3 linked regions of the Callithrix jacchus genome follow. The protein of the gene in region 2 purifies or fractionates together with the protein of the main gene of each other region. This does not show direct contact. Links are inferred from orthologs where the notes say so. Each region holds a gene or a part of one and is shown on either strand. Other genes may lie near its edges.

What was found.
Region 1: the proteins of UBXN6 (region 2) and ASPSCR1 purify together in Homo sapiens (affinity purification with mass spectrometry; 4 studies listed by BioGRID and IntAct, counting the BioPlex papers as one, with this or other methods). This does not show direct contact. The link is inferred for Callithrix jacchus from reciprocal best matches to the Homo sapiens genes UBXN6 and ASPSCR1.
Region 3: the proteins of UBXN6 (region 2) and NPLOC4 purify together in Homo sapiens (affinity purification with western blotting; 3 studies listed by BioGRID and IntAct, with this or other methods). This does not show direct contact. The link is inferred for Callithrix jacchus from reciprocal best matches to the Homo sapiens genes UBXN6 and NPLOC4.

The regions. Positions count from the first base shown.
Region 1 is NC_133506.1:137,619,166-137,625,944, reverse strand, and holds the end of ASPSCR1 (tether containing UBX domain for GLUT4), read right to left. Parts: intron 5,580-6,779; exon of another isoform or gene 4,469-5,579; coding exon 4,342-4,468; intron 4,004-4,341; coding exon 3,952-4,003; intron 3,689-3,951; coding exon 3,619-3,688; intron 3,548-3,618; coding exon 3,375-3,547; intron 3,141-3,374; coding exon 3,127-3,140; 3' UTR 3,052-3,126; downstream 1-3,051. Other genes in the region: CENPX (centromere protein X), read left to right, coding at 697-754, 908-990, 1,220-1,308, 1,384-1,417. UniProt on the Homo sapiens protein: Tethering protein that sequesters GLUT4-containing vesicles in the cytoplasm in the absence of insulin. Modulates the amount of GLUT4 that is available at the cell surface. Enhances VCP methylation catalyzed by VCPKMT.
Region 2 is NC_133523.1:4,201,349-4,209,722, forward strand, and holds the start of UBXN6 (UBX domain-containing protein 6), read right to left. Parts: upstream 4,369-8,374; 5' UTR 4,262-4,368; coding exon 4,179-4,261; intron 3,713-4,178; exon of another isoform or gene 3,365-3,712; coding exon of another isoform or gene 3,351-3,364; intron 849-3,350; coding exon 685-848; intron 330-684; coding exon 265-329; intron 1-264. UniProt on the Homo sapiens protein: May negatively regulate the ATPase activity of VCP, an ATP-driven segregase that associates with different cofactors to control a wide variety of cellular processes.
Region 3 is NC_133506.1:137,288,025-137,296,170, forward strand, and holds the start of NPLOC4 (nuclear protein localization protein 4 homolog), read right to left. Parts: upstream 4,915-8,146; 5' UTR 4,738-4,914; coding exon 4,723-4,737; intron 889-4,722; coding exon 808-888; intron 1-807. UniProt on the Homo sapiens protein: The ternary complex containing UFD1, VCP and NPLOC4 binds ubiquitinated proteins and is necessary for the export of misfolded proteins from the ER to the cytoplasm, where they are degraded by the proteasome.

The sequences.
Region 1 (6,779 bases), on a different chromosome or scaffold from region 2:
GGCATGATGGCCACAGGGGTCCTTTCAAACAACAGTGCTGCTTTCCACAAAAAAAAACAGAAAGGACTCCCAGTTTCCTACCACAGAGAGAGAGCTGATCAGGCCTCAGGCCCTCAGCATCTAGCCCACCCTTCCCTCCACTCTAACCTGTAGACCTCGCTGGTGCAGCCCAGCTCTATGCTTCCAGACACAAGCACCTCCTGCAGGATGATAAGCACCAGGGCAAGACTGGTGGAGCTGACCTAGCACACTGAACAGTTGGCCAAGCAAGGCCTTACTGGTGGCACTCCCTCAGGCCATCCCACCCAGGGAGCAGCTGCCTCCAGACCCAGGCCGGCTCTGCCTTCCCTGCCTCCTCAAAAGGAAAGCAGATCCATGGCCCTTGGCTGGGGACGGGAGTGCAAGATTATGCCAGACTCGACAAGGCCTCTCCTTGCTACCCCTGGAGCTCCAGCAGGCTGGGCCTGCGACCAGTCTGCATCCACTCGCTCTGCAGGGCAGCTCCCTGACAGACCCTGCTCTTCCAGCTTCTGCCACCCTAAGCACTGGGCCGGCCCTTGTTCCTTGCCCTGGGAGAGGCCCACGCACAGAGGGCATCTCCAGCTGGAAATCACAGCCGGTGCCACCCAGAATGATCACCACCCTGGGGGTGTGGGGGAGGGCAGGGCCTGGCACTGACATCCCCCTCCCCTCCAGGAGCTGGTGAGCAGGCTGCTGCACGCGCACTTTAAGGATGACAAGACCAAAGGTGCAGGTGGGGTGCAGGTGGGAGCGGGGGTTCCCGTCCTCCTGTACCTTTCCCACAACTCTGCAGGGCCAAGGCCTTGGGGCGGGTGGGTTGCATCTGGAGCACCCAGCCAGGGCAGTGGGCAAGGGTCCCACATAACGTCTTCCCCCTGCCTTTCAGTTAGCGGGGACTCACTGCAGCTCATGGCGGAGCTGCTGAAGATCTTCGTTGTGGGTGAGCCCAGGGCCCAGGCCCCCTCCCAGGTGCAGTGTCCAGGATTCCTTTTGTTTTTCTAGCGGGAAAACCAAGACACGTTTTTCTGTTTCCCACAAGGGCCTGAACTTGGTCTCCTGGGCCTGTTGGTCAGGTGCTACAGCCTGGTTCTGGGGGTTGCCTGTGGATGTGGGTGGGGGCACTGGCTCAGGCTGAGGCCCAGTGGGCCTGGGTTTAAGATCTCCCAGCATCCCCCACTTCTCGAGTTTCTCACTGCAGAAGCAGCCGTCCGTGCGGTACGGCAGGCCCAGGCAGAAGATGCCATTCTTGTGGATGTGGACCAGCTGGAGAAGGTGCTTCCGCAGTTGGTGCGTGAATGCGGGTCGGTGCACAGGTGGGAGTGCCTGGCTGGCAGGCCGCACCTAAGCGCTTCTTCCCCACAGCTCCTGGACTTCTAGGGACCTCAGCCGTGGCTGAAGCCACCCCAGGGAAGTCCCTGGTCCACAGAAGCAGGTCTTGTGTTTCTAGTGGCTTCTGGTTGCAGACAGAGAAGGACCTGAGGGGTTTGGAGCTGATTCAAACAAGATCCCGAGATTCTCCAACCTTTGCAGAAGGGGCAGGACTGTAGTGCATTGCCACCCTTGGAGTGCCCACTGGAGACAGGCCCATGGGGGCACCTACAGGCAGGTGCTGGGAAAGGCCCAGCCAACAGGTAGACTGCATGTTTTACAAAGAGCAGCTGGCAGCGCCGCCTCCTGGCCACATTCCTGCTACCAACATCAAAGCTGATGTGACCTTCCCAGGCATCCGCTATTCCCCTCAGAAAATGGCTCCCCAGGCTATAAATTTGTTCTGACAAAGCAACATCAATAAATCAAAACTGTCTCTCCCAGCTTGGCCTTCTTGTTGCTATTAATCACTGAAGTCAGACTGCTTCAAAGCCACGCTCCCTGTGTGCACCCTTCCACCCCTGGTAAGACAAAAGCAAAGCACCAGGACAGGCTGGCTGACAGCATGTGTGCATGGGGCTGTGGAGCCCATACCTTGTATATGTGGCCGCCTACCTGGAAAATGTTACTCCAGCCCCAGAGGCTGGGGCAGCCCCAGGGCCTGCCACCAGTGGGCAGTGGCTTCCATGAATATTCTTGTGGCTGCAGGCAGGACCAGGATGCACAGGGTGAGAGGGACCTTGGCCCAAGGCCCTGCTGAAATGGAGGAAGGGCCTCCCCTTCTCTTCAACACCAGCCCCACGCAGTGCCGGGGGGTATGGGACAGCCCCCTCAGGCCATGCCTCCTGCCCATGTTTGGAGACACAGGGCTGTGGGACCTGCCTGGATGCCCTGTCCAGGTCTAGCTGCCCTCTGATTGTCAGAAGTCTGGCATGAGCTCCACCTGTGCCAACACCTGGGAAGCAGCAGGGCCTTGGGCCACTTCCCCTCCAGTGCCCTGCCAGGTGCCTTAGCCCACCTCACTTTAGCTCCCTAGTTAGAGCCCAGGACTGTGAACACCCAAGGGGCTTTCAGTTGAGTGCCATCCTGGGGCCCCATGCAGGGAAGGTTAGAACACAGGGAGTCAGATTCCAGGGTGGGAAAGACAAGAGCTGCCCCTTGGGGATCACTGGAGGCGGCCCAGCCTCTCCTCCCCTGGTGCTCTAAGACAACTTTGGGGTAAGCCTTTCCATCCTTGATTTAGCCCCACTGGCCCTGGCCAGGCAGAGCTGCTGCTGGGATCCACCCCTTCCCCACCCTGCCCACCCAAGTAGGTCTGTCTGAAAGCCCTGGGAAGCCTGTGGAAATTGTTAGGCTTGCAAGGCCAGGCCCTGCCCTAAAGATGGGGTGGCCTACTAACTCCCCCAGCTCCTGGCCCAGGCTTGGTTCTTGGGTTGTAGGCAATCTGCCCAAAAAGCCCTTCTTCCAGCACTTCTGTTTCTCTGGGAGGAGGAGTAAATACTGTTAGGAGACCCACTCGGGTTCAGGATGCACACCTCGGCCCGGCGAGTGGCCACCGAGGCCCACACCATGGTCCACCAGGACCCTTGGGCCTGGACACTCCAGTCAGGCCAAGCCAGGGTGGACAGGGGCCCCTGCTGGAGAAAGTACGACAGGAAGCACTGAAGGACGCACAGTCTTTATTCCTGCTGGCAGGGGAGGTGGTCCTGTGGCTGGTGGGCACCTCAGGCTGGCAGCTCACCTCTTGTTGGCTGTAGTGCAAACACACCAGGGTGACCACAGGCCCTGGGCTCTCGCTGCCCAGCCACCCGCTCACTGGCCTGGCCGAAGCACTAGCTCTCCAACCCCCACTGCAGCACCCAGCCCCCCTGCCCCCCAACCAAATTCAGCATGCGGCCCCCCCATCCCCGCAGACCACAGCACCCTGTGCCCCCACACGTCCTCCACCTGGTCGAAGCCCCCTGCCCTCCACCCGGCCACAGTACCTGGCAGCTTCAGCCACTTGGGCACCTTGCCCAGGCTCCTCTTCACAGGCGGAACCATCTCTGAGATGGGCTCAGTGGGGCCCAGCGCCCCCTCCTCAGCAGGTGGCTCAGACTCAGGTGCAGGGTTAGGGGCTGGCAATGGGGAAGGGGACCTGGTGGCTCTGGACATGTACCTGGGGGGAGGCAAAGACACAGGGTGGTGGGTGTCGCTGAGGGAGGAGCCCCCAAACCCACTGGCACTTACCTGGCCACCAGCACGTCGGCCGCGGATGGGGAGATGGTGCGCTCCAGCAGGCCAGGCTCCAGGTAGACACCTGCAGGGAGGCCCAAGCCCACCCTCAGCCTCGGAGAGGCCCACCCTTATCTGCCCAGCAACCAGCCACCAGCACTCAGCTCTGGGAGCAGGGTGGCCAGCAGGTGGCTGTCCCAGCCCTCCCTCTGAGAGGTGGGTATTGGAAGCCTCAGACCTCCCTCCCAGATCCAAATGAGGCCCCAGACTGAATGCCCTCTGGGGCAGCTAGCTTTGAGGTCCCGGACGGGCTGGCCAGGCTCTGATGCCCCAACCACTGACACTCACCTGCTGGTTCCTTGGCTCCAAAGTGCACCAGAGCAGCCGGGAAGAGGTTCGCCTGCAGGGAGGGCAGGAGACTCAGGAGCCGGGCGGGCACCGTGGGCAGAGCACCCCTTCTGCTGCGGAGGCAGCCACACCTCCAAGCCCAGGCCCTGCTGATGGCCACAGCTCCACCCTCAGGCAGTTTCCACCTGCCCAGTCCCATGAGCCCCTCATTGCCCAGCTTCCTGTCCCGACTCTGGCACCAACCCTACCACTGTAAGCAAGCCCAGGGCATCCTAGGACCACCAGCGCCCTCCATGGGACCACCCCAAGCCCCAAGCCAGCTGCAGGCTAGGGCCCTGAGGGTCCCTGAGTCATGCAGTGTCACAGTCCTCCTTGCTCTGGACTCTGCACCTCAGGAAGGCGGGGTGGGGCAGGGCCTGACGGATGCCTCGGGACCACTGTGGAGTGCTGCAGCTGCCAGGCTGAAGGCATCCCCCTCCCGGCTCCAGGCTGCTCGGGGCCACAGTCTGGGGTGGGGCTGAGGGATGTTAAAAGATTAATAAGAGGAAGCTTCAAAGGCCAGGCCCAGGAACGCTGAAACCTCAGCCTCCAGCCGGGGACACAAACAAGGGCCGTGAATGCTTTGAAAACCCAATTGTGCCGCCTGGGATCAAAGCCTTGTGAGGAGAACAGGGCCTGCGGGGTGGGCAGGGGCTGCCCCAGTGGCCCTGGAAAGGCATCGGAAGCTGGGGAGCCAGGAAGAGGGCACCAGGAGGACAGCGCCAGGAGCCACTGTGGTCTCAGCCTCACAGATAAGAGCGCCATAGGGCCTCTGGGATTCACACCCAGGCTGCAGCCGCCCACAGAAGCCCAGGGACACTGCCTGGAGGCTGCTGTGGGCACCAGAGGCCTAGCCAGCCCCATCTGTGTCCCACCTGCCGCCAGGCAAGAAGAATCCCTCAGAAGCCACTGATACTGAGGCACCTGGTTTTCATCACTGCCCCCACAGGCCATGACCCTCCCAGCACTGCCCCACAGGATGTACAGAAAGGGGCAGCTGGGGCTCAGGATCACGAGGAGGGAAGTAGTCTTGGCAGTCAGTGGCGAGGAGGGTCAGCAGACTGGGTGGCATGGACGCTGCAGTGCTGGGAGAGGCTTGGCCTCTGGATGGACCCCAAAAAAGGAGCCTCCCAAAGTCTCATATCACCTCCATCTTGCACTGTGAGAAACGGTGCTCTCTGCCCTGGTTTCCAGGGGCCACTTCAGCAAGGGACCAGGGTGGATGGAGCTGGGTCTAGACACGAAATGTGAGTCACAATGGACACCCCCGCCCCCCACCCACCACTCAGAGCAGGGCCCAGAAAGGGCCTGAGGGAGGCGCAGGCTGAGGGGCCTGTCCCTACCAGCACTGTCCTGGCTCCCTGGGCTGACAGGGAAAAGAGGAACGCCCACCCTGCCCTGACACAACCTGAGGGCCTGGGACCATGCACTTATCTTTGAAGATATCTCACTTATCTTTGAAAAGATAAGTGATGTGAGATGACATCAAAGGCAGGTCTAGTCCAGTGTGATTCCTCAAGAAATGAGGACACAGACCACACACAGAAGTGACACCGCAAGGACGCCAGTCTGCCAGCCACAACGGAAGCCTGAGAGGAGCCAGCACAGCCACCCTGGAGCCAGCCCCTCCCTAGCTGCTGCCCAGCACACTGGGGCCCCAAATCCTGCCCCCTCTGCTGCCAGCCCCTTGCCACACTCAGTGTTGCCAGGAAGAGCTTCTGAAAGGAGGTCCAGGCCAACCCTCGTGGGCAGCGACTCTGCAGGAGCAGCATGCACGTGGCCCGGTGCCCCGGTCGTCCCCACGGGCAAGAATGGCACCACCCTCCGGGGAAAAGCAGCCAAGAGAAAAGCCTTATGGCCCAAGATACCCAGGCATGGGGTGGCACCACGGTACCCAGGCAGGGAGAGACAGGGCAGCCACCCAGAGTGGATGACATCCAAGGTGGGTCTGTTCCAGTGTGAATTCTCATGAGATGAGGACACAAAATGCTCACAGAGGTGACCATGCGATGACAGAGGTAACTTCTGCCAGCCACAACAGAAGCCTGACAGGGGCCAGCCTAGCCATCCCCTGAGCTTGGACCCCAGGCCTCCGGGATAGTGGGCCTTCGTCACAGCCACCCCAGTGGACTCAGGGTTCCCCAGTACATCCAGTCCCCAGGAGGGTCCCAGTGGGGTGAGGACAGTGGAATGGGGACCACAGATGGGGCGGAGAAGGCAGCGGGAATCACCCGTGAAGGAAGTCTGAGAATCTCCTCTCACACCCACAGGTCCCCTGTGGCTCCCCTCCCCACTCCCACCTCAGAGAGAAAGGTCCAGCCTCTCTATCCCCAGGACCACAAAGAAGGGCTGGCCCCAGGCTTCCTGCAACCCAGAGTTGCTTCCCCTGCTCCAGACACAGGGTGGCCACAGCCAGACCCCCCTCGGGAGGGGGATGGCCAAGTCTGGAAGGAGGTCCTGACCAAGGAACTCACCGCCAGGTCCACTCAGCCCATCATGGCCGGCATTGGCACTGGAGGTGAGTCTCATCTGATCCAGGCCAGGTGGACATGCACAGGAAGGTCTCTGGGCAGGGCTCAGTCCCCAGGGCAAGCTCGTGCCTGTGGGCCCCCACCCCTTGTCTCGTTTTGCTCTGGACAAGGAGACAGGACGTGCCAGGGCCCAGGCTGGAGCTGCCGGGTTGAGGCCTTGGGAAAGGACCCCTGGGGGAGCTCCTCTGGAACCAGGCCTCCCTGCCCCACTGGCTGCCCACCAGAAGTCCCCTGCCTGCTGGCTGTGTCTCTGGGATC
Region 2 (8,374 bases):
TAAGGGGTTAACGGGAGGGACCACTGGGCTACTGCGCACGAGGTCCACTTCCCCAGGCCTGAGCTGGGAAGCCTCGGCAGCCGGCGGCCGAGCCCTGAAGGTCCCGCACAGCACTGTGTTTCACCCCAACCCACCTCCGCCTATCACGGCGAGGTTTCCCAACTGTCCCAGAGCCCCAAGGGCAGAGGCCACATCTCCCGTGTGACAGAGTCAAGCTGTCCCCACCCATGGGCAGGGGACACTGCCACCAGTGGCTGTTCTTACCATGTTGGTCCCTGGGGCCTCGGGGCTCCCGCTGACGGTGGCTTCGGCTTGAAGTTCCTTTCTCACTGGAAGGCAAGCCGAGGAGGGAGAGGCAGGGATGGGATGGTGTGCAGGCCTCTCCCCTGGCCCAAGCCCCCGCATTCCTGGGGTGGCCTGTGAGCCAAGCATACCTGTTCCGGGCCCCTGTGGGGCTTGGTCTGCACCCACCCCTCGGCCTGAGCCAGCACCCCACTGCCTGGGCAGCCCCGGTTTCTGCTGCAAGTCTCTGCTCCCCCTGCCCCGGAAGCCACCCTTCCCCCGCTCTCGGGGGCCACTTCCAAGGGTGACCCTCACAACCCCACAGTTGCTCATGTGACTTCTGCACCAGGGCTGGGACCCACGAACAGTGTCCACCTGGGCCTGAGGAGGACCACAGCTCACCCTGATTTCGGATGGTGTCCTGTGACGTGGGGCCCCAGGGCCGGGACTGCTTCTGCTCCAGCCGGGCCAGGGCGGCAGCGGCTGCCATCTGTGCCTCATTGGTGGGTCCCTGGCGGGGCTGCCTGGGGGCTGGCTGGGTGGGTTTCTCTTTGAGGGCCTTTTCCCTGGGGACAGACCGAGGGAGACTGAGTGTATTGTATCCTGGCTGATTATTCCTCTTTTGAGACAGTTTCGATCTTGTTGCCCAGGCTGGAGTGCAATGGCGTGACCTCCGCCTCCCAGGATTCTCCTGCCTCAGCTTCCCGAGTAGCTGGGATTATAGGTATGCACCACCATGCCTGGCTAATTTTGTATTTATTTTTCTTTATTTAGTTTTTGAGACAGAGTCTCACTCTGTCGCCCAGGGTGGAGTGCAATGGTGTGATCTAGGCTCGCTGCAACCTATGCCTCCTAGCTTCAAGCAATTCTCTGCTTCAGCCTTCCGAGTAGCTGGGAATACAGACACCTGCCACCACACCTGGCTAATTTTTGTATTTTTAGTAAAGACGGGGTTTCACCATATTGGCCAGCCTGGTCTTGAACTCCTGACCTCGTGATCCACCACCTCGGCTTCCCAAAGTGCTCAGATTACAGCCGTGAGCCACTGTACCCGGCCTAATTTTGTATTTTTAACAGAGATGGAGTTTCTCCACGTTGGTCAGGCTGGTTTCAAACTCCCGACCTCAGGTCATCCGCCCACCTCAGCCTTCCAAAGTGCTGGGATTACAGGCTTGAGCCACCGGGCCCGGCCCTGAGTGCAGACTTTTATGGCAGGGAGGGAGGGAGGATGTGATAGCTCTTGAGTCTATCAACCCAGGAGGCGGCTGGGTCGGTTGACTCCTCCTCCTAACAAGCTGTCAGGGAGACCTCACCATCCCCTGTTCCCAAACCCAAGAGGGTTGTTGAGAAGTCCAGGTGATGTACCCCATGCCACGCCACCCTTGTGTCAAGACCCTGGGGTCAGCTGACAACAGAACCAGCCTTGCCCTGGCCACGTGACTCCATGCCAGGCTCAGGGCTGTGCAAGTACAAAGAGCTCAGGTAATCACGGCCCTGCCCTGTGGAGCCCTCTGCCAAGGAGGATTCCGTAATCCTCTGAGCACAGTGACCTGGCAGAGCAGCCCTCTCTCCCAGCTGCTCGGATGCGTCTGTCTCGCCCATCTCCTCAGGCCCCTCCCGTGAATTCAGGCGCTGTCACTTTCCATGCTATAGATCTGTAAAAACTTCCAGGAGACCAGGCTCTCAGTTCAAGCCCTATACTCCTCTGGCTCTGCTCAGATTCCCGGGAAGCCCTCCCTCCTCCTCTGGAGGCTTCCGGAACCTGCTTCGTGCCCACCCCTGCCTATCCCGTCCTCCCGCAGCTGAGCAGATTGGGTGGAAGAGATGACTCATGAAGACCCACCCTGGCCCCATCCCATATCTAGGTCTTTCCAACAAAACAGCATTTCCCAGGGTGCCTCACCCCAACCGGCTGTGGGCCCTGCTCCCCCGGGCAGTCACAGGGACCCTTCTGGAACCTCATTCAGGGAACGTCAGCGTCACTCCACTGCATAATGTCCTCCCACTGCAAAATCCTAAGGCCTCCCTCGGCCCAGAGAGCCCTTCCTGGCCTGGCCCCATCTCTCCTGGGCTCCCTGTCGTTCTTCCCACACCCCAACTGCTCCCCGTTGTACGGCCCTGCACTGTCTGCGCCTTCTGCCCAGAATGTTCTCCTGGGGGGTGGGAGGAGGTCAGGGGATCTGGAAAGGGCTAGGGCTACCACAGGGAGAGAAGGAGGGGGCTGATTTCCTCACAGCTGAAGTCTCGCTGTCCTGGCAGAGGTCTTCCCGGACCACCTGGCGGTCCCTGCTCACCCTATTTCGAGGCCCTGGGCACTGCCTGAGCTCTCATCCCAGGCTTGTTGGTTTATTTACCAATCGGCTCCCACTAGGTGGTGAGCCCTGGGAAAGCAGCCGCCTTGTCCTGTCCGCCACTGCAGCCCAAAACAGGACTTGGTGCCCACCCGCCCCACACACCCTGGAGTATCACTCCAAAAGGGACCTCTGCACGCCTTTCCTTTCCTTCCCGTCCCTTCCCGCCCGCCCCTCCGCTCCAATCTTCCCCCCTATGCCTGGGCTCTGGGCTGATCCAGCCATCGCCCTCACACCCTGGATCCTTCCTGTCACGCCCAGTCCCAGTGGCTCTAGTACCCCGTTCACCCACTATTGGTTGAATCAATGAAGGGCTCCCCCCATTTGCCCACCTCTCTCCCTGACCCCTCTGTCCCTGACCCCTCTCCCTCCTTTGCTTTCCTGCTCAGCCTCTCCCCCAGGAACCCCAACGTCCTCACTATGGCCCTCCCTCCATCACCACCCCACTGCCCGTGATTCCCTGACCCGCACTTCCTGCCACCTCCCTGCATCTCCTCCTACCCCTTCCCAGCCCCACCTCTTCACAATCCCTTCCATTATTGCTTATAGACCCCTGCCCTGGCAGCCTGGCTGACCTCCTTCCCCTTCACTCTCCGTCGGTCCCCACCACTCCCTGGCCAGCCAGCTCCCTGCAGCGGCCCCAGCTCTCCAGGTTCCCTATTCTCAACCCAGCAGCCCTCAGCCTCACACTGTCCCCGGTTCCACCTCTTCCCCTACCTTCCATGTGCCATCCCAGCTGGCTTAGCCCTGCCCAGGCCCTTCTCTCGAAGTCTTCCCTAGACAATCCAGAAGTAGGCCTGGCAGCTACCTCCTTTCCCTCCCCTCCCACCACCATCTGTCAGTCCTTCACCTCCAGTCTCCTCGCACACCGTTCTCAGCCCTTCACTCCCAATTCGCAGGGACCTCCCAGGTCACTGACGACTCTGCCCACCACCACTTCCCTGGCCTTCCAGACTTCCTAGTCTGTCGTCAACCTCCCACGTGCTCCAGATCCCAAGCCCACATCCCCTCTTCCCATGGATGCCCCACAGTGTGTGTCCTCCTCCACGCTCAGCTCCCATCCCTGGTCACCCAAATTCCCCCAAATCATCCGGGCCGCTTCAGAACCAGCCGGGTCCCCAGACCTCTCCCTCACCACCCGCCTCCGGACTCATCATCCCTTTTTTCCCCCAGGGTCGCTCCACTGACTCCCAACTTGCTGCAGCCCCGTCGCCCTAGACCCCCGCCACAGCCTCCGAGGCCCGACCACTGACAACTACCCTCCTGGCCCCTTCCCCCGCCTCTTCCCGACCCGCCCCCGGGTCCCTCCCACACGCCCTCCTGCCCCGCCCCCAGGCCGCTCTCCGCTCTCCCCTCCCCCTGACGCCCACGACGCCCACCTAGGCCCCACTTGCCCCGCCCCCGGCACCTCTCCCGTTTCCCTCATTCGCCGCCGCCGCTTTCAGCCCCTCGCCCTCCGATCTCCCGCGCACCTCGAGGCCCCAGACCTCTCTCCCCGGCCGTCCCCGCCCCTCAGGGCCTCAAGCCCCAGCGATCCTCACGCACCCCACGGAGTCCGTGAGCTTCTGACCGGGTCCCGCGCTCTTGAACTTGATGTCGGCCTTGAACTCCTGAAAGAATTTCTTCATGGTGGCGGCTGGCCCGGCGGCTGGGGGCCGCAGGGGCGGGGGGCACGGGGCCCAGTCGGGGAGGGGCCGCCCAGGACCAACCACCGGAAAAAAAATACCGGGCCGCCGGAAGTCCCGCCTCTCCGACACCAGCCACGTGACAATCAGCCCGGCGTGCCGCTCTACGGCTCGGTGCCTCGCGGCCCAGGGCGGACGCTCTGTACGCCGGAGCCGCGTCTCTGTGGTTCTGCCGGACTACGTTGCCAGGGCGACGAGCGCGCTTCTAGATTGGCTACAGTGCCTTGCCTGGCGCCTTCCGTGGGGCTCCATAAACGGTGACAAACGTTGATGGGAGAGGGACAGGCCGACTGAACCTCGCAGAGAAAGTACTGGGCCCTGACCTGTTCGCTGCTCAACCTAAGCTGGGCGCGGTGGCTCACGCCTGCAATCCCAGCACTTTCGGGGAATCGGGTGGGAGGATTGCTTGACTGAAGTTGGAGACCACCCTGGGCAACATGGCAAAACCATGTTTTCCATAAATTTTTTTTTTTTTTTAATTGTTGCCGGGCGCGATGGCTCACGCCTGTAATTCCAGCATTTTGGGAGGCCGAGGCGAGTGGATCACCTGAGGTAGGGAGCTCGAGACCAGCCTGACCAACACGGAGAAACCCCGTCTCTACCAAAAATACAAAATTAGCCGGGCGTGGTGGCACATGCCTGTAATCCCAGCTACTTGGGAGGATGAAGCGAGGAGAATCGCTTGAACCCGGAAGTTGGAGGCTGTGGTGAGCTGAGATCAAGCCATCGCACTCCAGCCTGGGCAACAAAAGCAAAACTTGGTGTCAAAAAAATAATAAATAAATAAATTAGGTGAGAGTTGTGGCCCGTGCCTGTATAGTCTCAGCTACTTGGAAGGCTGAGGCGGGAGGATTGCTTGAACCCAGGAGGTCCAGGCTGTAGTCAGCTGTGATGAAGCCATTGCATTCCAGCTTGGGCCACTGAGAGAGATTTTGCCCAAAACAAAACAAACACAAAACTAACCTTCCCTGTCTGCTCAGAGCTTACGTGATAAAGTCCCAATTCAATGTGGGGCATTGGAGGCCCCCACGATCTGGCCCTGTTTTGGTCCCTGACCGCCCCCCGCCCCACCCCAGCCCATGCACCTTATCTAGGAGCTGTTGAATACAATGCACTTGACTGGGACCTGGGGATCCACTTTGTCGGGCAAGACAGAGAGAAACCAGTTAATAGTGGCATCTTTGGGCTGTGCATTCTGCAAAGAAAGATAAAGTGACAGTTAAGCCTCAAAAAAAGGGAATTGGGGGTCAGTTGCAGTGGCTTACGCCTGTAATCCTAGCATTTTGGGAGGCCAAGTCCAGCAGATCACTTGAGGTCAGGAGGTCAAGACCAGACTGGCCATCATGGTGAAATCCTGTCTCTAAGGGCGCCAGTAATCCCAGCTGCTCAGGAGGCTGAGGCAGGAGAATCACTTGAACCCGGGAGGTAGAAGCTGTAGTGAGCCGAGATCTCAGCACTGCACTCCAGCCTGGTGACAGAACGAGACTCCATCACACACACACACACAGTATTTCAGTTAAAGGCAGATGTCAAAATGCTTTTCTCCTTTCTTCAGAGTCAGCTCTGTACCCACAATGAGGAAGCAAACTTCTTTCCCCTCATAGGGCTCATGCTCATCAGTTTCTGGGGGGAGTCTGGGTGAAAACATAATATAATCAGTAAAGGAAATCTGTGTCAGGGCACATGGCATTATAGAAAGAGCGGTTTGCGACACGAAAGGTGTCATCAGGGACAGTAAGAGGATATTTTTGAGACCACCAGGGAAATGTGAATATGTCTGGGCATTACACGATAGAAAGGAGCTATTCTGAATTTTCTTAGTGGTGATAATGGTATGGTAGTTATTTTTTTTTTTTTCCGAGATGGTGTCTCACTCTGTCACCGAGGCTGGAGCGGGGTGGCACAGTCTTGGCTCACTGTAACCTCCGCCTCCCCGATTCAAGCAAGTCTTCTGCCTCAGGCACCTGAGTAGCTGGGACTACAGGCACCATGCCACGATGACCGGTTAAATGTTCGCATTTTTAGTAGAGATGGAGTTTCACTGTGTTAGCCAGGATGGTCTCAATCTCCTGCATGATCTGCCCAGCTTGACCTCTCAAAGTGCTGGGATTACAGATGAGAGCCACCATGCCTGGCAGGTAGTTATGTTTAAAAATACACTTTTTGCCCTGGCTTGTTGGTTCATGCCCGTAATCCCAGCACTTTGGGAGGCCGAGGCGTGCGGATCACGAGGTCAAGAGATCGAGACCATCCTGCCCAAGATGGTGAAACCCCGTCTCTACTAAAATTACAAAATGAGCTGGGTGTGGTGGCACGTGCCTGTAATCCCAGCTACTCGGGAGGCTGAGGCAGGCGAATCGCTTGAGCCCAGAAGGCAGAGGTTGCAGTGAGCCGAGATCAAGCCACTGCACTCCAGCCTTGTGACAGAGCAAAATTCCGTCTCAAAAAATAATGATGTATTTTTTTTTTTTTTTTTGGCTGGCTGTGGTGCCTCACGCAGTAATCCCAGCTCTTTGGGAGGCTGATGCAAGAAGATTGTTTGAGTCCAGCACTTCAGGACCAGCCCTGACGCCACAGTGAGACTGCCATCTCTAAAAAAAGAAGAAAAAAGAAAAGGGCTAGGTGTGGTGGCTCATGCCTGTAATCTCAGCACTTTGGGATGCTAAAATAGGTGGATCATCTGACATCAGGAGTTCCAAGATCAATTTGGCCAACATGATGAAACCCTGTCTCTACTAAAAATACAAAACATAGTTGGGCGTGGTGGCGGGCGCCTGTAATCCCAGCTACTCAGAAGGCCAAGGCAGAAGAATTGCTTGAAATGGGGAGTGGGAGGTTGCAGTGAGTCAAGATCCTGCCACTGTACTCCAGCCTGGCAGCAGAGCGAGACTCCGCCTCAAAAAAAAAAAAATTGTAGCGATGGGGTCTCACTAGGTTGCCCAGGCTGGTATAGATCTCAAGTGATCTTCCCACCTCAGCCTCCCAAAGCCAATATGGTAAAACCCAGGATGACAGGCATGAGCCACCTTGCCCAACCAGTGTAAAGGTGTTGGAACTGTAAATGTATTATTTTTTCTGATATGGAGTTTTTGCTTCTCTCACCCAGGCTGGAGTGTAATGGTGCTGTCTCAGCTCACTGCAACCTCTGCTTCCTGGGTTCAAGCAATTCTCCTGCCTCAGCCTCCTGAATAGCTGGGATCGCAGGCCTGCTCCACCGTGCCTGGCTAATTTTTTGTATTTTTAGTAGAGATGGGGTCTCATCATGTTGGACAGGCTAGTCTTGAACTCCTGACCTCAGGTAATCTGCCTCCCTTGGCCTTCCAAAGTGCTGGAATGACAGGTATAAGCCACTGTGCTCTGGCAAAAAAAAAAAATTATTATACATATATATATTGAGATGGAGTCTTCCTCTGTTGCCCAGGCTGGAGTGTGGTGGCACGATCTTGGCTCACTGCAACCTCTGCCTCTTGGGTTCAAGAGATTCTCCGGGCTTAGCCTCCCCGAGTAGCTGGGATTACAGGCACGTGCTACCATGCCCACCTATTTTTTTTTTTCTGTATTTTTATTAGAGACGAGGTTTCACCATGTTGGCCAGGCTGGTCTTGAACTCTTAACCTCAGTGATCTGCCCCCCTCAACCTCCCAAAGTGCTGGGATTACAGGCGTGAGCCATGGAGCCCAGCCAAAAGAAAATGTGCTTTCTTTTGAGATGGAGTCTCACTCTGTTGCCCAGGCTGTAGTGCAGTGGTGTCATCTCAGCTCACTGTAACTTCTGCCTCTCGGGTTCAATAGATTCTCCTACCTCAGCCACCTGAGTAGCTGGAATTACAGGCACGCACCACCACGCCCAGCGAATTTTTGTATTTTTAGTAAACATGGGGTTTTGCCACGTAGGTCAGGCTGGTCTCAAACTTCTGACCTCCTGATCTACCTGCCTTGGCCTCCCAAAGTGGTGGGATTACAGGCGTGAGCCACCGAGCCCAGCCAAAAAATTTTTTTATAAAGATGCAGTCTTGGCCGGGCATGGTGGCTCACGCCTGTAATCCTAGCACTTTGG
Region 3 (8,146 bases), on a different chromosome or scaffold from region 2:
GTTTTGCTCTTGTTGCCCAGACTGGAGTGCAATGGCACGTTTTCAGCTCACTGCAGCCTCCACCTCCCAAGTTTCATGCCTCAGTCTCCTGAGGAGCTGGGATCACAGGCACATGCCACCACGCCCAGCTAATTCTTGTATTTTTAGTAGACAGGGTTTCATCATATTGGTGAGGCTGGTCTCAAAGTCCTGATCTCAAGTGATACACCTGCCTCGGCCTCCCAAAGTGCTAGGATTACAGGCATGAACCACCACGCCCGGACACTCTCATAAATATTATTCTTGTGAAATAATTTTTTTTTTAACAAAGCCTGGCTCTGCCTCCCATGCTGGAGTGCAGTGGTGCAATCTCAGCTTACTATAACCTCTGATTCCCAGATTCAAGTGATTCTCCTGCCTTAGCCTCCTGAGTAGCTGGGATTACAGGCACCCACCACCATGCCCAGGTAATTTTTGTATTTTTAGTAGAGACAAGGTTTCACCATGTTGGACACCCTAGTCTCAAACTCCCACCTCAGCCTCCCAAAATGCTGGCATTACAGGTGTGAGTCACTGCACCCGACCACTCTTGTGAAACACTTTTACATATACCTTTGGGCTCTCGGTCCTATAATTCTGAGCAGTGATCAGCTGTGACAAACATCTCATCCTATAGCAATCCAACCCAACCAAGATAGAGAAAAGCAATGCAAGGGGCTATTTGGGACTAGGGAAAATAAAAAAATGGGGAAAAAAGAAAAGGTATTGGTGGGAGTAACAGTAGAGGATGAGAAAGATCCTGAGGGTAAATACCCAAGCCATGGATACCTTTTTCAAAAATGTTGCTGCTGTTTCTCTCTTTGTTGCTGTGATCCGCTTCACTCCATCTGGGGACTGGACACGAATTATCTGTTGTAAATAAAATATGATGGTTACTGCACAGCCTAGTGAGGTCCTGCTCTACTGCTAAGGCTTACAGCTGTGGTCTTTTAGCATCTGAGTCACTAAAATTTAAAGCCAAACCTCATTTAAATCCTTCTCCTGTGATCTGGATTTAAAAAAAAAAAAAAAAAAGGGCGAAACGTCACTCTTCACTTTTCAATACTCAGCTCAATCTTTCTAGAAGATGAAGCCATGGCCGGGCGTGGTGGCTCAAGCCTGTAATCCCAGCACTTTAGGAGGCCGAGGCAGGTGGATCACGAGGTCAAGAGATCGAGACCATCCTGGTCAACATGGTGAAACCCCGTCTCTACTAAAAATACAAAAAATTAGCTGGGCGTGGTGGCGCATGCCTGTCATCCCAGCTACTCAGGAGGCTGAGGCAGGAGAATCGCCTGAACCCTGGAGGCGGAGGTTGCGGTGAGCTGAGATCGCGCCATTGCACTCCAGCCTGGGTAACAAGAGTGAAACTCCGTCTCAAAAAAAAAAAAGAGTACTGTCCTCTCAACCCTTAGTTTCACTTGGAAAACAACTTTATTTCCTAACCACTATTTATAGAGTATATGTGAAATGCTTTTTGACTCTTCAAACTTAAAAACTATCTCCAGGCTTAACTTGGAAAAAAAAAAAAAACCCACCATGAACCATGAAGGAACCGTGTTCTTTATAAAAGATGTTCTTTGTTCCAGGATCTATACACAAACTTTAGACAGTCTTTAAGAGTCCTACAATTAAAAGAATCATAGGAAATTTTCTAATTGTTACTTATTTTTTTTTTTACTTTTTTGAGACAGGGTCTTGCTGTCACCCAGGCTGAAATACAGTAGCAAAATCACAGCTTACTGCAGCCTTGACCTCCAAGGTTCAAGTGATCCTCTGAACTCAGCCTCCTAAGTCCCTGGGACCACAGGCCTGCACCACCAGTTCAGGTTAATTTTTTCTTTTTTTTTTTTTGTAGTGATGGAGTATCACCAGTATACTGCCCAGGCTGGTCTCAAGCTCCTAGGCTCAGGTGACTCTGCCACTGTGCTGGAATTTCAGGCATGAGCAACCACACCTAGCTGTTATTTACTTTCTGTAAAAAAGATTTTAATATGGTCAGGCACAGTGGCTCACATCTGTAATTGTAATACTTTGGGAGGACAAGGTGATGGATCACTTGAGCTGAGAAGTTCAAGACCAGCCTGGGTAACATAAGGAAACTTCATCTCTACTAAAAATACAGAAGTTAGCCAGGCATGGTGGCACACGCCTGTGGTCTCAGCTACTTGGGGAATTGAGACATGAGAATTACTTGAACCAGGGAGGTCAAGTTTACAGTGAGCTAAGATGGTTCCACTGTACTCCAGCATGGGTGACATAGTAAGACCCTGCCTCAAAAAAAAAAAAAAAAAGAGAGAGAGATTAAAGTTAAAAACAACAATGGTCATTAATGGTAAAATTTAGCAGGGTTTTAAAAAAATATTTTCGGTTGGGCACAGTGGCTCATGCCTGTAATCCCAGCACTTCAGGAAGCCAAGGCAGAAGGATCCCTTTAGCCCCAGAATTCAAGATCAGCCTGGCCAACACAGCACGCTTGACTCCATCCTAATTTAATATGTATGTATTTTATTTATATATATATATATATATATATATTTTTTTTTTTTAAGTATTTTTTTTTCCCATGGTAAGCCTAAAAAGGGGGCAGATCTGGAATACTATGGGACAAAGAGCATTACTTCCTAAGACGACTTCGTTTTTATGCTGATGAAAGCCATTGTGAAGGTGAGCTATAATGCCTAGCCAACAGTACAGGTCCCTGTTCACATAGGGAGGATGAAATGGCATGCTCTGCAACAAACAAAGACCTGCTCCAACCACCTGCAGACGGGAAGGAGGCTGATAGGAGCATGCTGCAAGTGCTGGTGTCCTAGCTTCTCCTCTCAGCAATGACTGGTAGTGCACTGCAGAGCTTCTATTTCTTGCATTATCATCTGTCTTTAGCTCATTTTTTTCTTTTTTTTTTTTGGAGACGGAGTTCACTTTAGTGGCCCAGGCTGGAGTGCAATGGTGCAATCTCGGTTCACTGCAACCTCCACCTGCCAGGTTCAAGCAATTCTCCTGCCTCAGCCTCCCAAGAGGCTAGGATTACAGGAATGCACCACAACACCCAGCTAATTTTTTGTATTCTTAGTAGAGACGGGGTTTCACCATGTTAGTCAGGCTGGTCTCGAACTCCTGACCTTGTGATCCACCCACCTCAGCCTCCCAAAGTGTTGGAATTACAGGCGTGAGCCATCACGCCTGGCCTGAAGACCGATTCTTGACACCTGGTAAAACTGCAGAGACTGTCACAATACTACAGCATGAACATTACTCCTCACCCAGTACTGCTCAGCTTCCCCCAGAAATCCCAAACCTTTCTTAATACTAATCAAAATTCGGCTGGGCTCAGTGGCTCATGCCTGTAAGTTCCAGCACTTTGGGAGGCTGAGAGAGGCAGATCACCAGAGGTCAGAAGTCCAAGACAAGCCTGACCAACATGGCAAAACCCAGTCTCTACTATAAATACAAAAAAATTAGCCGGGCGTTGTGGCAGGCACCTGTAATCCCGGCTACTCAGAAGGCTGAGGCAGGAGAATCCCTTGAACCCGGGAGGTGGAGTTTGCAGTGAGCCGAGACAGGGCCACTGCACTCCAGCCTGGTCAACAAAAGCAAAACTGTCTCAAAAAAAAAAAAAAATTAACCAAAATTCTGTCCAAGAGTCAGTTAATTTTTCCCCATCACATTTACTTTTGGGGAACAGCTTCTCACAAGTTAACGAGGGGCTGGTTTTCCCTGATTTTTCACTGACATTTTTTACCTTGGTAGGGATGACAATTCGTTTTTCCTTTTTTTGGAGATGCAGTCTCACTCTGTTGCCCAGGCTGGAGTGCAATGGCACGATCTCGGCTCACTGCAACCTCCACTTCCCAGGTTCAAGCGATTCTCCTGCCTCAGCCTCCCAAGGAGCTGGGATTACAGGCGCCAGGCACCACGACCGGCTAATTTTTTGTACTTTTAGTAGAGACGGAGTTTCGTCACGTTGGCCAGGCTGGTCTCGAACTCCTGACCTCACGTGATCCACCCGCCTCGACCTCCCAAAGTGCTGGGATTACAGGCGTGAGCCACTGCGCTCGGCTGACAATTCTCAGTTTCAGGTAAAAAGTTAAATCAACCTCATTTATGACATTCCTTTTAAAGAGGAGTTGTCAAGTTTTCCTTCCTAGAAGGAGCAAAGCCGGGAAGTTACTGCGTTTTCATTTTCCCAGCTCCACCGGCGGGGAGGGAGCTCTGTAACGTCCCCGTCTGCAGTTGCTCTCCTCAGTGATTCATGACAAGGCACTTGCTGGGAAGGGGGAGAGCGGTAGAAGAGAATCGGAGGGAGATTGGGGTAAGAAGTGGCCCTGGCTCTGAGAGGGGCAGGACTAGCTGGGAGTCCCTGGAACTGGACCAGGAAGTCTCCTGGAGCCGGGAACCGGGTGAGGAAGGAGGGCGGTTTCTCTTCGGCACAGTCAATTCTCCCTGCAGAAAGCCTCGGCCTTTCCCTGCCCAGGGCGGGGAACCGGGGTCGCGAGTCCGCCGGGAAGGGACAAGGACGGGAAGCAGCCGAGGGGGTGAAAGTCGCCGAGGGGGGCCCAGCCTCTGCTGAGAAAGCCCGGGTGAGAAAGGGGAAAGGAACCCGGTCGCGGGGCCGGCAGGCCCGCCTCCCCAGCAGGCCGCGGCCGGCAAATCTGCTGCCTCATCCCGGCGTCCCCGCTCCCGCCCGGCTGCCGCACTCACGATGCTCTCGGCCATGGTGGCCACTCCTGCCTCCGGGCTCGAGTCCCGGGCCGCCGCCGCCTGCTGCCCCAAGGGCCTCGCAGACCCGGCCGCGGCCTCAGACCCGGCCCCGGCCTCCCTACGCCGCCGCAACCGCCGCTCCAGCTTCGCCCGCCCGGCTCCGCCAGCCGCCGACGTCCTGGTGCCTCGCTCAAGACTCTCCCCTAGGCGCGCGGCCGGGAAACCAGGTTCCGGTCCCAGCAACGACTGGACGCATGCGCAGGGTGGTGCCGTGGACCCGCCTCCCCTCCCGGCACCGCGAGGAGGCGAATTTTGGAAAAATGCCCCGTCGATGACAACAAATGCTCGTCCTCGGAAACGCAAGCTGTACAGAAAAGCCCAAAAAGGAGGCAAAGACAAGCATCCGAAATCTCACCCAAAAATAGCTACTGCTGCGTATTACAGCGAATTATAATTGGGGAAATAGCATTCCAAACTTCCCTCCATGCACAGCTAAGGAGAGAAACAATTTCAGGGAGAGGACCACACCTTTGTTATTTTTTTTAAGTCTTTTTTTAAATTTAACATGAGACGGGAGCTGCGGTGGCTCTGGCCAGTTGTCCTGGCGCTTGAGGAGGCGAGGCTATGAGTTCAAGGCCAACCTGAGCAACATAAGAAGCTCTCATTGATTAACAAAAAAAGAAAAAATAAAAAAATTTTAACATGAGAAAAACAAATGAATAAAAAAACTACATTTCAGACCGGGCGCGGTGGCTTACGGCTGTAATCCCAACACTTTGGGAAGCTGAAGTGGACAGATTTCCTGGGGCCAGAAGTTCAAGACCCAGCAGGCCAACATGGTGAAACAAAATTAGGCCAGGCACGGTGGCTCACGCCTGTAATCTCAGCACTTTGGGAGGCGGAGGCAGGTGGATCATCTGAGGTCAGGAATTCGAGACCAGCTTGGCCAACATGGTGAAACCTATCTCTAATAAAAATACAAAAATTGAGGCCGGGCGCGGTGGCTCAAGCCTGTAATCCCAGCACTTTGGGAGGCCGAGGCGGGTGGATCACGAGGTCAAGAGATCGAGACCATCCAGGTCAACATGGTGAAACCCCGTCTCTACTAAAGATACAAAAAATTAGCTGGGCATGGTGGCTCTTGCCTGTAATCCCAGCTACTCAGGAGGCTGAGGCAGGAGAATTGCCTGAACCCAGGAGGCGGAGGTTGCAGTGAACCGAGATCGCGCCATTGCACTCCATCCTGGGAAACAAGAGTGAAACCCCGCCTCAAAAAAAAAAAAAAAAAAAAAATTACCCGGATGTGGTCTTGCATGCCTATATTCCCAGATTCTCAGGAGTCTGAGGCCGGAGAATCACTTGAAGTTGTGAAGCAGAGGTCACCGTGAGCGGAGATGGGGTCACCCTTCTCCAGCCTGGGTGACAGAGCAAGACTGTCTCCATCTCAAAAAGGAAAAAAAAAATTAGCTTGGTGAAGTGGCTCATTCCTATAATCCCAGCTACTCAGGAAGCTGAGGTAGTGAGGTAAGAGAATCACCTGAGATCAGGAGGTCAAGGCTGCGGTGAGCCAAGATCATGCCACTGCACTCTAGCCCAGGCAACAGAGTGAGACTTCATCTCAAAAAAAAAAAAACAGAAAAAAGACACCACTTCACAGATCTAAGGATTTTAGGAGCTGCATGCCAGGAAACTGGAAGACCAAATATATACATATTTCACAACATCACAATTTGAGAGTTCTTTTTAACTATGTTAAATTATATTGATTGATTAAATTATGTTAGTAATTCTATTAGTTTGCTCAGACTGCCATTGTAACTGCCCAATGGGTGGTCCCTGCCCACTGCCTAGACTTTATCAAGACAGGCCAATTGCAATAGAGAAAGAGTTTCATTCACCTAGAGCCAGCTGTTCGGGTTACCAGGGACTGGGGTTTTATTACTACTCAAAAAATCAGTATCCTCGAAAATTCGAGGATTGGAGGGTTTTTTTTTTTTCTTTTTTCTTTGAGACAGTTTCGCTCTTGTTGCCCAGGCTGGAGTGCAATGGTGTTTTCTCAGCTCACCAAAACCTCTGCCTCCCGAGTTCAAGCGATTCTCCTGCCCCAGCCTCCCAAGTAGCTGATATTACAGGCGACAGCCACCACGCCCAGATAATTTTGTATTTTTACTAGAGACAGGGTTTCTCCATGTTGGACAGGCTAGTTTCCAACTCCCAACCTCAGGCAATCTACCCGCTTTGGCCTTTCAAAGTGTTGGGATTACAGGTGTGAGCCACCAGGCCTGGCCAGGGAACAGAGTTTTAAAGGATAATTTGGTGGGTATGGGGTCAGAAAGTAGGGAGTGTTGATTGGTTGGGTCAGAGATGAAATGACAGGGAGTCAAAATTGTCCTCTTGGGCTGAGTCAGTTCCTGGGTCAGAGGCCACAGACCAGATGAGCCAGTTTATCAATCTGGGTGGTGCCAGCTGAACCATGGAGAGCAGGGTCTACAAAATATCTTCAGAGCTGATCTGTTTTACAATGGAGATGTTATCCTGAGGAGCAATTTGGGAGACTTAGAATCTTGTAGCCTCTCCAGATGCAGTGGTTCACACCTGTAATCCCAGCACTTTGGGAGGCCAAGGTGGGTGGATCACCTCAGGTCAGGAGTTCAAGACCAGCCTGGCCATCATGATGAAACCCCATCTTTAAAAAAAAAAAAAAAATCTTGTAGCCTCCAGCCGCATAACTCCTAAACCATAATTTATAATGTTGTGGCTAATTTGTTAATCCTGAAAAGGCAGTCTTGTCCCCAGGTAGGAAGGGAGTTTGTTTTGAAAAAGGGTTGTTATCACCTTTGCTTCAAAGCTAAACTATAAACTAAGTGCCTCCCGAAGTTAGTTCAGCCTATACCCAGAAATGAATAAGGACAGCTTGGAGGTTAGAAGCTAGATGGAGTCAGCTAAGTCCCATCCCTTTAACTGTAATAATTGTCTCAGTTATAATTTTTGCAAAGGTGGTTTTACCATGACAGACTGGTGGTTTAGAATTACTTTCTTCTCCTTTTTTTGGAGACAAAGTCTCACTCTGTTGCCCAGGCTGCAGTGCAGTGGCATGATCTCACTGCAACCTCCGACTCCCAAATTTAGGCAATTCTCCTGCCTCAGCCTCCTGAGTAGCTGGGACTACAGGCATGCGCCACCACGCCCAGCTAATTTTTGTATTTTTAGTAGGAACAGGTTTTCACCATGTTGGTCAGTCTAGTCTCGAACTCCTGACCTTGTGATCCGCCCGCCTCGGCCTCCCAAAGTGCTGGGATTACAGGCGTGAGCTACCGCACCTGGCCGGTTTGGAATTACTTTCTAACAGTCCTAGAACTAGAATCCCAGATCAAGTTGTCAATAGATGTGGTTTCTCCGGTTTTTTGGTTTTTTTTTTTGTTTG